Linked DNA regions of Coturnix japonica. The protein of the gene in region 1 interacts with the protein of each later gene in a pairwise test. Links are inferred from orthologs where the notes say so. Each region holds a gene or a part of one and is shown on either strand. Other genes may lie near its edges.

Region 1 (6,581 bases):
TCTGACATACCCCAACAGCAACACTGCCTAACCATAAAAGAGCAGATCTCATGCTCACACCCCATCTGTGGCTTCTCTAAGCAGGAGGAATGGGACATGATGGCCAGGAAAGTCCGGACCAATGTGCCAGACTGAAGGCAAAGAGCATCCCTGTGTGAGTAACAGCAAGCAGGGTCCACTGGCAGCTCCCAACCTCAGCTACACAGATGAAGCGACTGCCACCACAGCCTGGAAATCATCCCATGGATTAACTCATAGACTCACACAGTCACAGAATCATTAAGGTTGGAAAAGACCTCTAAGATCACCAAAATCCAACTGTGAACCCACCCTCACCATGCCCACTGCCCATGCCCCTCTGTGCCACATCTCCACAGTCCTTGGATATCTCAAGGGACAGAGACTCCCCCACTACCCTGCACCTGCACCATGGAGGCAGAGTCCCTTCTTACCTTTTGCCATCTCTCCGAAGGAAACCACGTTAACTTATTTATTTATTCTGGGAAATGCCTGGCAGCCTGTGTCATATTTTTGGAAGTAATGCTTTTCAAGGAATTTTAATCACTGTTGATGTATAAAAATAAATAACAGAATCTGTGACCAGATGGTGTGTTGGGTGATATGGGGCTCTTCTTCATCAACACAAAACAGCTCCCAGGCCTTGCAAGAGCTGCCTGCAAGCTCCTCTCACCCTAAACCAAATTCATCTTCAGGAAGGAGCAATTTGAAAGAGTGGAATATTGTCAGCAAAATCTAGAGGCCAAGTGTAAAAGCAGGAGGAACTCTGCTTTGCCCATACCCAGAATATACTGGAGTCAATCTTTACTGCTGGAGGAGAAGCAGCTGTGAGATCTGCAGCTCCTTATCACCCCAGCTTTGCTTGAGAAATCTCTGAGCTTTCCACTCTTTGTGGGAAATATTCTTCAGTAATTCCAATCACTGCAGATTTTGGTTGATCCAGAGAACACGCAGTGAAACCCATTGCTTTTCATCGTTCAGAAACCACTCACAAGGTTTTGACACAAAGCCAGCTTGGCTCAAGGCTGGGCCTAAGGCCAGCTTGAAAATATTCCCGAACCTTTCAACAATCCCTGGCTGGTTTTCAAACTTAAAACAAAAGCCCAGGTCGGGGAAAGTTTGCAAATGTTTAGGTTGTGTAAGAAAATCTCTGAACATCTTGTGATAAATTCCCATCATCTGTTCTCATGCTGGGAGAATCTCCCAGTCTCCATATCCTTCTCTTGCCTCAAAGAGCTTAACAGTGGTCTTTACAAAAAGGGTTTGTCTGAGAGCTGGAGAGAAAGATATAGGATGTGTTGGGAGTTGTTTGGAAAGCAAACAGGCCAGGTTGGCTCTTGTTTGGATGCCTTATTCCTTGCCTGAATTGTCCCCAGGTGCTCCATTAGGTAGCAAGAGTTCTAAGTTTATAGCACTTTATGGAGCCAGGTATCCTTCATGGGTTCATGGCTACATTTAGGAACATGCAGCAGTCCCCTCTAAGCAGCAGAATTACAGAGTTTTCTGAAATCCTTCCCAGCTTCCCTTTCAGACATCCCTTTCAGATGTTCAGCAATATGACAGAACTCTTACTCAGCAACTTGAGAACATTTAGTCACACAGAGAATCGTGAAATGCTGCACTTCTCCCTGTGTAGGTAATGTAGAACAGAAATGTAGGCACTGCAGCCACAAATAGAGACTGCAGGCACAGAGATCCACTGATTGGGCTGCTGCTGTGTCTGGCACACGTACACACTTAACACACACACGCACAAACACACATAGCAGATACCTATTAAACACGGAAAACAAAAGGAAAGATACGTAAAACACATTCCTGCTCTCAAGATGTTGCTAATCACACTGACTGTCAGCAAACATCAGGAAAGGTCTGCATTGCTCACTTCATCTCTACCTTGCCACCATTCGACAGATGCTAACAAATAGATGCAAAGTCCCTTTGCAGATAATTACTAAAGCAGGCTTTTTTTTTTCCTCTTTTTCTTTTTTCCTTTTCCCTCATCTTTATCTTCCTTTTTCTTTTTTATTTTCCTTTTCTCTTCTTTTTCTTTTATCCTACCGTTCTTTCTATTCTGCACTCTCTAAGCCTGAATCTACAAATAAGACTAAGAAGCTTCCATTAAATGTTAACAGGTATTCAGTCTACTGGGACTTACACTATTTCAGAGATCAGCCTTTTTTTGTTCTGTATGCTGAGATTCAGCATGGCCGTATTTTTATCCATCAGTGAGCAACAAAAGCTCACGTGATCTCTTCCTCCTTCCTCGTGTCGTTGCACCATTGAGCAGCCCAACCTCAGGACCCCATGCACATGACTCGTGCCCCGAGCAACCTTATAATACCATCTGCCTCCCTTGCCAGCAAGAAGTCACGTTCCACAACCTCCGGCTCAGATCAGTGAACGAGCAGCACATCAGCAGATTTTCTGCCTGCCCAAAGCTACAAAACAGCTACAAAACAGCAAAACATTTCCCACAGCAGCCAATGGGAATTAGATCCCATTTTACTACTGAACTCGGTAGCATTAAGCAGACAGAAAAGCAGCAGGGAAACATCCATGTCGAGAGAGCACACATGCACAGATGCACAATCACATCCTGATAGAAACACACAGATGAGTACGAGCAGAATAATACAGCCACGCTGTCTCTTGATTATTCTGGCCAGCTACTCTTTGTGCTGATTAACTGAAGGGGATTAGGAAGGACTCTGCCCAAAAACGCAGTTCCTAATGCTCCTGCAGCTATTGCATAACGAGACCAATTCCCGTCCCAAGCCCTGACCCTCAACTTACTCGACACAAGTTTAACGCTGTCAGGTTGTATAATGGAAACACCTGCTTCCCAGTGAAGAGAAATCTAGATGGGATCCACCAGGTTCCCAAGGGCTGGGTTGTTATTTAAGTTCCCAGGTGGGCAGTAGAGGGAGAGGAAAGTGGGCAAGTATCACCAAGAAGGAAATAGAGCCGCTTTCCCCAAAGCATTTATATCAGGATGTACTGGAAGCCAAAGCCCTCTGAGCCTCATTAATCCACGCACACTTGCTGTTGGCACACCCACTGGAGAAACGAACCCCAAACCAAGGGAAATCAAATACATCTCCAAAGTAAATTAAAAAATATACGAACCCACACAGCCTGGCTCAACTAAACGCACCTTAAGTTAGGTACACCCTAAAACAGCAATCCAAAAGTCTGTTGTTACAATGCTATCTCCAAAAGCATGCAGAAAAGATAACACCACTTCAGAACAGTCACTCCATTAAAATCTGAGTGCTGAAATAACATCACGGGGCCATGTAGGAATTTCAGGTGCGTAAGGAATACGTGAAGTGACCCCTTTGCCATCTATCACTCTGGATGTGTACAGGTGTAAGACAAGCGAGGACGGAGCCCCACCAAGTTGAACTGCAACCCAATGCCTTCCTACATCCGACTGAGAACCGGACTGCCTTTGCCCAGCAAATCGTAAAAAGCTTTGGGGAACTTGGCTGGGTCCTGCGTCCCCCTCCCCCACCACAGCAGATAATAATTTGCAGAGGCCGCGATTGCTCGCTCTTTTCTATGCGCTCGCTAACTCGCTAGCGATGTTTTCAAGCAGCAGGGCTGGGCGAGGAGCAGGGGGAGGGACGGGGACAGAGGCAGGGGATGCTGCTGCCGCCAGGCCCCTTTGTTGAGCATCATACCCCTCGCCTCTTACCTGGGGATGCAGTCGCCATAGCGACGGGCGGGTGCTCCCTGGCGGAGCCGAACGCCGGCTGCTCCCGCTGCTGAGCCCCGTCTCCATCCCGCAGCGCAGCCCCGGCCGCGCTCTGCTCCGCCCCGGCCGCAGCCCAGCGCTCCGCGGTGCCGGCCAGCAGCAGGTCCTGGGGGTCCGGCGGGGCTGACATGCTGCTGCCAGGCGGCCGCTGGCTCCGGCTCTCGGGCTGCGGCGGGAGCCACCGAAAGTGGCCGCCGAGGGCTGGGCTGCTGCGCGGCCGCGCTGGGTCTGGCCGGCTGCGGGACTCGGAGCCGCCGCTGCCGTCGCTCGTATCTCCACTAGCGCGTATTACGCAGGTGAAAATGGCTTGTTCAGTTGGAGCCTTCCAGCCCTTGCGTCACCCTGTGGCTGGCATATCACAGGGCAGGAATCTGCCAGCCTGGCTGCTGCTCTCCCCCACTTAACCGCTTCGGCAGGGGAGGCACGGACAGCGCGCGGGGGGAACACGGACCCTTCCAGGCAAGCGCATCCCCCGCCTCTAAATCTCTTCCCGCGACAGAGTCCCGCACAGCGCGCTACAACAGCGCAGCACCGTGGGGATGGCACTGGTTTCCCTTCCACCTCCAGGGCAAAGAGCCCCACGGCCACGCGCATCCCACGAGCTCCCAACTGCCCCCGATCTCCACCGGCAGAGCAGGAGGAGCCACAGTCCGCCGCTGAGCGCTCGGCTTTGTGCGGTTGGCTCCGCGCTGCAGGGAGACGATCACAGCTTCCTGCATGTAAATGACACTTGTCAGAATAAACTCCCAGCAGGTGTCTGCATGCCTTGCTTATTCTTTCTTTCTTTCTTTATTGTATTTTCATTCTTACTGATTCTCATAAGCAAGCTGTGCTAGCAGAGGTGGTGCAGGGAACCCCTGCAATTAAGGAGAGATTGGTAAGAAATGCAGAAGGGATCTGTGCCACTTGTCAGGTGCACTGGGAACCAGCACCATGCTGTCATTTTACAGAGCAAACAAAGTCCGGTCTATTGTGACAGGACACGGTGGGTGCTTTCAAACCAAAAGAGTGCAGATTGAGGTTGGATATAAGGAACAGGATTTTTGTGGTAAGGACAGTGAGGCACAGGTTGCCCAGAGAGGCAGTGAGTGCCTCATCTCTGGGACAGCCAGATTCAGACTGAAGGGGCTCTGAGCACCTGGCGGAGCTGTGGATGTCCCTGTTGATTGCGGGGGAGTGGGACCAGCTGGACTTTAATGGTCCCTTCCCACTCAAACAATTCTGTAATTCAGCCAGGTGGTATCAGACCATTCCTGCACTGCACAGAGCTCTGGCACTGACAGGTCAAAAAATAGATGGAATTTTGTAAATGGGATTTCAGGATCTGACTCTTACAATGTGAAGAGTCAAGCTGTGAGGTGGGGAGCTGTTGCTCCAGCCATACAACTTCAATTAGACCAGCTCTTGCAGCAACAGACCTGCTGTGTTCATGTCCCAGCATCCCCAGCCATGCTTCAGATCCTCTCCAGCTTCAGGAAGCCACGCTTGCACCTGGATTTGGAAACTTAAGTCACTTTTACTCTATCCGTGTGAAAGGGGAGGAAATTTAGGGTAAGCTCATACTGCCAGATGAAGAGCCTTAGAAGCAGCCTCCATCTTCTTTATTACCTTCTCAAACAATCTCAAGGAATCAGAATTGTGTTAGAAGAAATCTGGTCCAACCCCCCTGCAATGAACAAGGACACCTACAGCTTCCTCAGGCACTGAGAGCCCTGTCCAGCTTGACCTTGGATGTCCCCAGGAATGGGGCATCCACCACCTCTCTGGGCAACCTGTGCTGGTGTTTCGCCAACCCTTATTGTAAACAACTTTCTCCTTGTATCCAAACTAAACCTCCTGACTCCGGTCCAGGATCTGTTTCTGGGAGCCGTCCTGCTGCTGCTTGAATCAGTGCTATTCGGTGCCAGCTCCCCTGTGCCCTCCACAGATGGGCTCCTCAGCCTTTGGGGAGGCTGGGAACCAAAGCACTGAGGTTCCAGCGTGAGCAACGTGCTGAGCATCAGCCAAACCACACAAGCCAGGTGACTGCTGTGACTTCAGACAAACTCTGTGGTCTCAAGCTCTAAGTAGCAAGCATAGTTGTAAGTAATAAGGTGCTACTGTAGGTAGGGCTGCGTGGTATAGTTCTAGTGTGGAGCTACTGAAGACTAAGATCAGTTCAATTTGGCTTCAGAAAGGGAAATCACAATGTTACTGTGATATTGCCCTTAAAACAAAACACAACACAACCAACCAACCCCACCTCTGAAGCAGCCGTAAACTGAGTTTATTGTCTCTGAGCTGCCCTGATAGCACTGGTGGGACAGCTTGTCCCAGCACACCATTGCCAATTGCACCTGTTCACACAAGGTCTCTCCAGGCTCTGCCTGCCCTGGAAACTTATGGAATGGGTATTTCTCTCTCATTTTGAGCTCCCTAGTCCAATGAGTTACTGAAAAGTGACAACTTCAAACCTACTTGTCTTGGTCTGCTTTATGTGCTATTTCTAGATCAGCGATTATTATATAGGTCACTTTACTTTTCAGGGCAGCATATGTCTTACCACTACATGCAGCACCATCTGGGCTACAAGAAGAAAACTGCTCCAAACCCCTTGGCTGAAATATGGCTATCCAGAGGGTAAAGGCAATCAGCAAATTTCCTCCTGAGCCACTGCCTCATTAAAGCACTTACAGAAGGATGCAACATAGCATAGTCTGCCAAATTCAGTTTTACTTTGAGTTAGTTCCTGGTAATCACAGAATGCCATGGGTTGGAAAGGGCCTCAAAGATCCAATTCCCCCGCTATGGGCAGGGTTGCCCA
Region 2 (5,987 bases), on another chromosome or scaffold:
AGGAAAAGTTCACTGCAGAGTATTCATGTAGCAGATATGTATCAGAAAAAAATTCTCTCCATTTCTGTTTGTACACAGGAGCAAAATACCATTTGGCCAAGACTACAGATGTATTTTCACAGATATGCAAGTGCCATGCAAAAAATAAATTAAAGAACAGATACCAAAACATACAAGTAGTAAAACTACTGAAGGTAGATTTTCTTAAAAGTACTTTTATAAACAATTTATAATACTTTCGATCCCCCTTTCTCTTTTTGACAGTCACAGTTACAAAGCTGTGGCTATACATCAAGGATTTCTTCTGCAGTGCCTCCACAACGTAACCTGTAGCGTCCTGTCCTCCAGCTAATAGTGGGGTCCCACAAAGCAGACAGGAAAATGTAAATTGTCATGGATTCTCTGATGAACCAAGCGACCGCATAATCAAGTTTAGAAAAACATAAAGCACCACCCTAGGAATACAAAAACAAATATTTAAGCATACTAACTATTCCAAATGAGTTTCGAAGTAATTTCTATTAAAGATAAATCTACTCTAAGGCTTAACATACACTTTGACATTATCAAAAGCATATTCTATTTTTTAGAACCTAAGAAGTTTTTCCTCCTTCAAGATATGATTACCCATGTTAAACATGAGATATTTGGCAGAATGACCCAAAAGATTCAAAAAGTGACTTGTATGCAATGCAAAAGACAAAGAAGAGTCACAATTTCAATTTATAGTTCCTTTTGAAGCTTTGTAAAATTGTGTTGAGAGCAGGCAATAGGTTTATACCACAGACCTAAAGAATATGCCACCACACATGCTCAAGGGAGTGAAATTAGAAGAATCAAGCTTTTGGCTTATTGAATAGGAAAAAGATCTAAAAACATTTATAGACAGCCCTTCTGAACTGACTGTTCCTTTGAGATTTACCAGCTACATACAGAGCTGCAAACTGAAGAGGCTTCAGAAGAGGAAGAACAGGCTCAAAGTTCTTCTACTGCACCATGTATGTATCATGCAGCAATTACAGCAATCAGAGAAATGACCGTCAAACTAGTGTTCTACTCCATCAGTAGAACTAGACTTTCCTTCCAGGAATTCTTAAAACTACAACAAGAATGTTTTTCAGTATGATGAGAATTCATTCATAGTTTGTACGCACAAATAACTGCGGATCAGATTTAGATGGAATAGGGTCACAGTAGACACAGTAGCCTGAAGAACTACAGCATCAGAAAAGCAAGTGTTTTTGATTTGTGCTATTTCAATATTAAAGGTTTTACTGAAATCTCCCTTCTTCCAGTGATAAGGAAGTTATATTTCTTAAAATTAGACTACATCCAGTATCAAAATACAGAAGAGATATATGTGTTTAAGTGTACATAAAATGTACATATAAGCTTCATGATACAAAAGACAGAAGAACAATTAAAGATTTAAAACTAACTACAATTCCAGAGCTGCTGTTCTTTTACTTTTTAATAAAGCCAAGAGTTCTGGGCATGCCTAAAAGTAGAGAAGACCAGAAACACAATTGCAAAAATGTGAAAGGGAGACAGAAGTCAACTTGCAGAGGCTAGTTAGAGGTAAGTACACAAAGAAAATAAGATCACAACCAAGCACACCTTTCACGCTACTCTAAGTAAAGTTAGCAGGTGAGCAGAGGTAACAGGATTTGACCAAGCACTTCCTTGATGATATCAAGAGAAGTATCTTGTCATTATAATCACATTTATCTCTTCGTTCTTTCATAATCTCTGAAAAGAAAGGTGACATACCTGAACACCTCTTAGTTGAATGTAGTCAAATATAAACCAGGCCAAGCAGTGACACATAAAAAATACCATTATATCCCATCTGAACACATGATGAGCTGCCCAACCAATAACCAGACTGGCAACAAAGCACTCTGAGATTGGCTCACATATTATTGTGGCAGGTAACATATTAATTCGCAGTTTGGCCCATCTAGGAAAAAAAAAATACAGTTCAGACTACATGTAATTTCTTACAACCTCTTCCCGAAACTCGTCAGGTGATGAGCCATCATTCTTGTTTAATTTACACTTCCAAAATAAACATGGGGAAAAAAAAAAATAAAAAAATCAGCCTTTTAAAAGCACTATGTAAAGCATTGAAACCAGTTTATTTTTGTTGCTATTGTGTTTTTTTCTTCTTAGGCTTTTAGTGTTTAAAAAAACAAACCAAACTACTCATGCATGAGTCTTGCTTCCCTGGAAAGTCAGCACCTTTAGCCATGCAATGAAACTATAGCATTCCTCACATTATCATCAAATTAGTTTGGGAAAGTATTCACTCCATTTTTAGATTAACCACAACAGAAGCAGATGACATTAATGGAAGAGAGAGGAAGCAAGAATTAAAATTTTACCTGATCATTCTGGACTGAAACTGAGAAATTGAATATGAACCAGAGTTCTGCATTGCAACTTGTGTGGCCATTGCAAATTTCCACCCTCTGAAAAATAAGTGTGCATTATGAAAAACATGCAAATAAGAAACTCAAAGAACAGTTATAGAACAAACATTTTAAGAATTCTATTAAGCTTCGATATTTTCTTTAGTATATATGCCATATTATTACAATGCATAAGAGCAAAAAAAATTAAATATGTTTCTACCAAATCTCTTACTTGGGGAACAGTAAACGTCTTAAACAATTAAATGTCTCAAACATTTTTCTAAAGCAGCTTATATGGACTTGAGTATATCTCTCCAATAACTGACAGAACAAAGCATATGCCATAAACACGCTTGGTACATACACATGAAGTTGACCTGACTACCTACATGTATAGCACGTAACACATGAAAACAGTTACAAACTGTATTTCAAACAAAAGCCTGCTGCAGTGATCTTACCGGTCTGCTATAGCTTTGGCCATAAAATAATCTTCAGCAATATATTGTGCAAAAGCAATCAGTCCCCCTGCTTGGTCCAAGACATCCTTCCTCATCAAGCATGACATTCCTGTTACACACTTAAAGCCAGTTAAATTGGCTGAAATATATGACCTTGGATGTGAAGTTCCAAAATAAACCTGCAAAAACAAGATAAGGTTTTTGAGCTCTACATGTAGCTAGGCCATTACTACTGACAATTCTCTCTTTTGTATGTATTTGAAGGAAAAAATTCTAAACATATCCAGTAATGATCTAATATTTGGAAAGTTCTTCACTATCCGAGTAAGAAGTCTAACTTAACACTAAATCTGAGAAATCTAATAGATGTGAACTCTGTTTCTATGGATTTAAGACACAGCTTGAATTTTTATATTGAACTGCCATATTTTGTTCAACACTAAATTTCTAATTTAGGCTGTTCTCAGGTAACACATATATTAAAACTCAAACTACTAATCACTCAAATAATATATTATTCACTTACAGCTAACAGACATACTGTCTCATTCCTCTTGCAACTTCATAGATGCTTACTACACAGCAGTACAGAAGCACAGAATTTTTGTTTAATGTACCAACAAGATGAAATAGCCAAATAGACACTTCAGACTGAAAAAGCTGCATTTTAGAAGACCTAGTATAAAGTCAGCAGTTTCCTACAAAAACATAGCTGAAGCAAGTTCTAGCATCTTAGTGCTATTCATCCTATTGATGGTCTCACTAACACACCAGCTTATTCAACAAAAGGCAAGGTGACCTTGTGGTACACTGGAACTAGAAGCAAACAGTTCTTCCAGGAGCATAGAAGCAGCAATTAGAATGCTATTTGCAAGTAGGAATAATAAGAGTTGTGTGCTACAGCTTCTTGCTCTCTTCTTTTAAGAAAATCAATTTAGACTTTCTGCTCCAAAAAAAATTCACTCAGGGTACCCTCTCTTTACTGAATTTCTCCATGCTTTTTTCTCTCACATTTGACTATTAGAATAGAACCAAAATGCCTTATCTATGCCAGCTTAGCATAAAAAGGAGTGATTAAATTATTTGCCTTGACACACAAGGAACAGACAAAACTCAGCCTCCTCATTCTACAGAGAAGAACATACTGAGAACTGAGAGGGAAGAATAGGACAGATAACATTAAGTGATATGAAGATGGTGGACAAGAATCAACTCTTCACCTTCTCTTTCTCAACAAGCATTAGGAGACAAAAATAGCCCTACAGAAGAGCAAGGTTCAGAGTTAAGAAGGCAGTGATGCTTGTAACATAGATCTAAGAAACTTCCTGATACAGACAGATGAGATGGTAGAGATTTACATCGATTCAAGTAAAAAAAAGTAAAAGTTCATGTAAGAAAAGACTACTTCTTGCATAGGGTGCATCTCAGCTGAAAATACTGGAAAGCTAATAGAGTATTAAGGGAAAACAGAACATATACCTTGCTCAGGTCCTGTTCCCAAAGGTTCTGATTATAACCTCTTATAAGATACTACTGTGAGTAGGACTTTTCTCTAACTCACAGTCATTTTTGTTTTAAAGTTAAAGGTTAAAGTTCAGTTAAAGGTAGAGAGTTCATAGACTTTTTACTAGTTATTAAAGCCCCCGTATTTATTAAAATAAAATCCTATATTTACACAGTGTTCTGTATAGCAAACAAGATTTGAATTAATGTCTGGAGTATTAATTTACAAGCTGTCCTAGGCAGTCCAAAGCACAACTGCTGCTAAAAGTAAATGAAACCTCCCTTCACTGAGAAGTAGAAGAGGCACTACACAACTTTTAGTCAGCAATATATTAAGTACATGTATATATATATGCACACACACACACTCCACTAACCTGTTCCAGGGTGGCAGCAAATCCCTGTCTGTCAGCAACATAGGGAAGACCATGGACCAATCCTACTTTCTCAGTCATTTGGTTGGCCATATCTGTCAGAGTGTCTGGTGTAACTAAGCAAGAAAAGAGAAAATGACAGTTAATTGAGCAATCCCATCATTAGCAGAAGGCAACTATGAAACAATATTGTGACTTTAACATTATTATCAAGAGCAGGTACAGCTTAGTGCATGTCACACTGGGGCAACAATCTGTCAGTAATAACTTAATCATTACTACTATTTCATGATCAGCAAATAAAATAAGAACAGTATTTTCAAAAATAAGATCAACATCCTTAGAGGTTTAAAATTTTTATTCTGTGAAGACTTCTCCAGACTTCATTTCTATTTCTGCTCTCAGTTAAAATAATCTTCTACAACTGCTAACCTACATGGAGTAGGGCAATAAGACTATCAGCACATTATAGTACACACCTACCTCTGATTCCACTATCACAAATCCATATTAGATCATATTTAGCAACTTCATAGCCAGGCATTAAGTTGTTAATCTTGGGGTTGATGCCAACCTTCTTACCACCTTTAAGAAAAAAAAAAAAAATAAAAGAAAGCAAGCATCATACTCATCATACTCAAAAACGCATGGGGGCTTTTTTGTGCTTTTTGTTTGTTTTGTTTTTGAAGCTTGGGGAAGGGAGGAGGGGGTTGAGGTTGTTGTTCACTTCTAAAAGTCCTGTGTTTTGTATTTTACCACAAATAAGGAGAGAACTGAAGAGCAAAATCATTCAAATGCTTCCTCATTCCAAAAAGGCAGGTTAATAACTGAGAGTAGAATTGCAAATCTTTTTACTACATTCTATAAAGTACATACTGCCTACTGCTTTTTCTTAAGAGTCCTGGTTATGATTGTTACACTCTAGGATAACCTTAGCAAAAGGGGAAGAGGAGCAGAATACAGTGACACAACTTTTTACTCCAAACAGATAGGATTCTATTTATTTCATGCCATCTAGTTCTAATTATCTTTTCCTACCCCTTTCCTCCTTCAATACAAACAACTCGTAATAAATAGACTTACAGTCTCTAAGTTAATGAAAACAGATTATTTTAACACCTCAAGCTCAAATACAGCTAGAACTCTAAGTCACTTCCTGCGTATTTAGTATAGCATAGAGACAAGATACAAATTGTTGAATTCCACATGTAGTAAAAAAAAAAAAAAAAAGGGCT

Evidence for each region.
Region 2: the proteins of RTN1 (region 1) and UGCG interact in a two-hybrid assay, tested with the Homo sapiens proteins (2 studies listed by BioGRID and IntAct). The link is inferred for Coturnix japonica from reciprocal best matches to the Homo sapiens genes RTN1 and UGCG.

The regions. Positions count from the first base shown.
Region 1 is NC_029520.1:49,711,457-49,718,037, reverse strand, and holds the start of RTN1 (reticulon-1), read right to left. Parts: upstream 4,221-6,581; 5' UTR 3,909-4,220; coding exon 3,719-3,908; intron 1-3,718. UniProt on the Homo sapiens protein: Inhibits amyloid precursor protein processing, probably by blocking BACE1 activity.
Region 2 is NC_029547.1:58,821,921-58,827,907, forward strand, and holds part of UGCG (ceramide glucosyltransferase), read right to left. Parts: intron 5,338-5,987; coding exon 5,236-5,337; intron 4,869-5,235; coding exon 4,756-4,868; intron 3,055-4,755; coding exon 2,876-3,054; intron 2,472-2,875; coding exon 2,385-2,471; intron 1,961-2,384; coding exon 1,771-1,960; intron 456-1,770; coding exon 285-455; 3' UTR 1-284. UniProt on the Homo sapiens protein: Participates in the initial step of the glucosylceramide-based glycosphingolipid/GSL synthetic pathway at the cytosolic surface of the Golgi.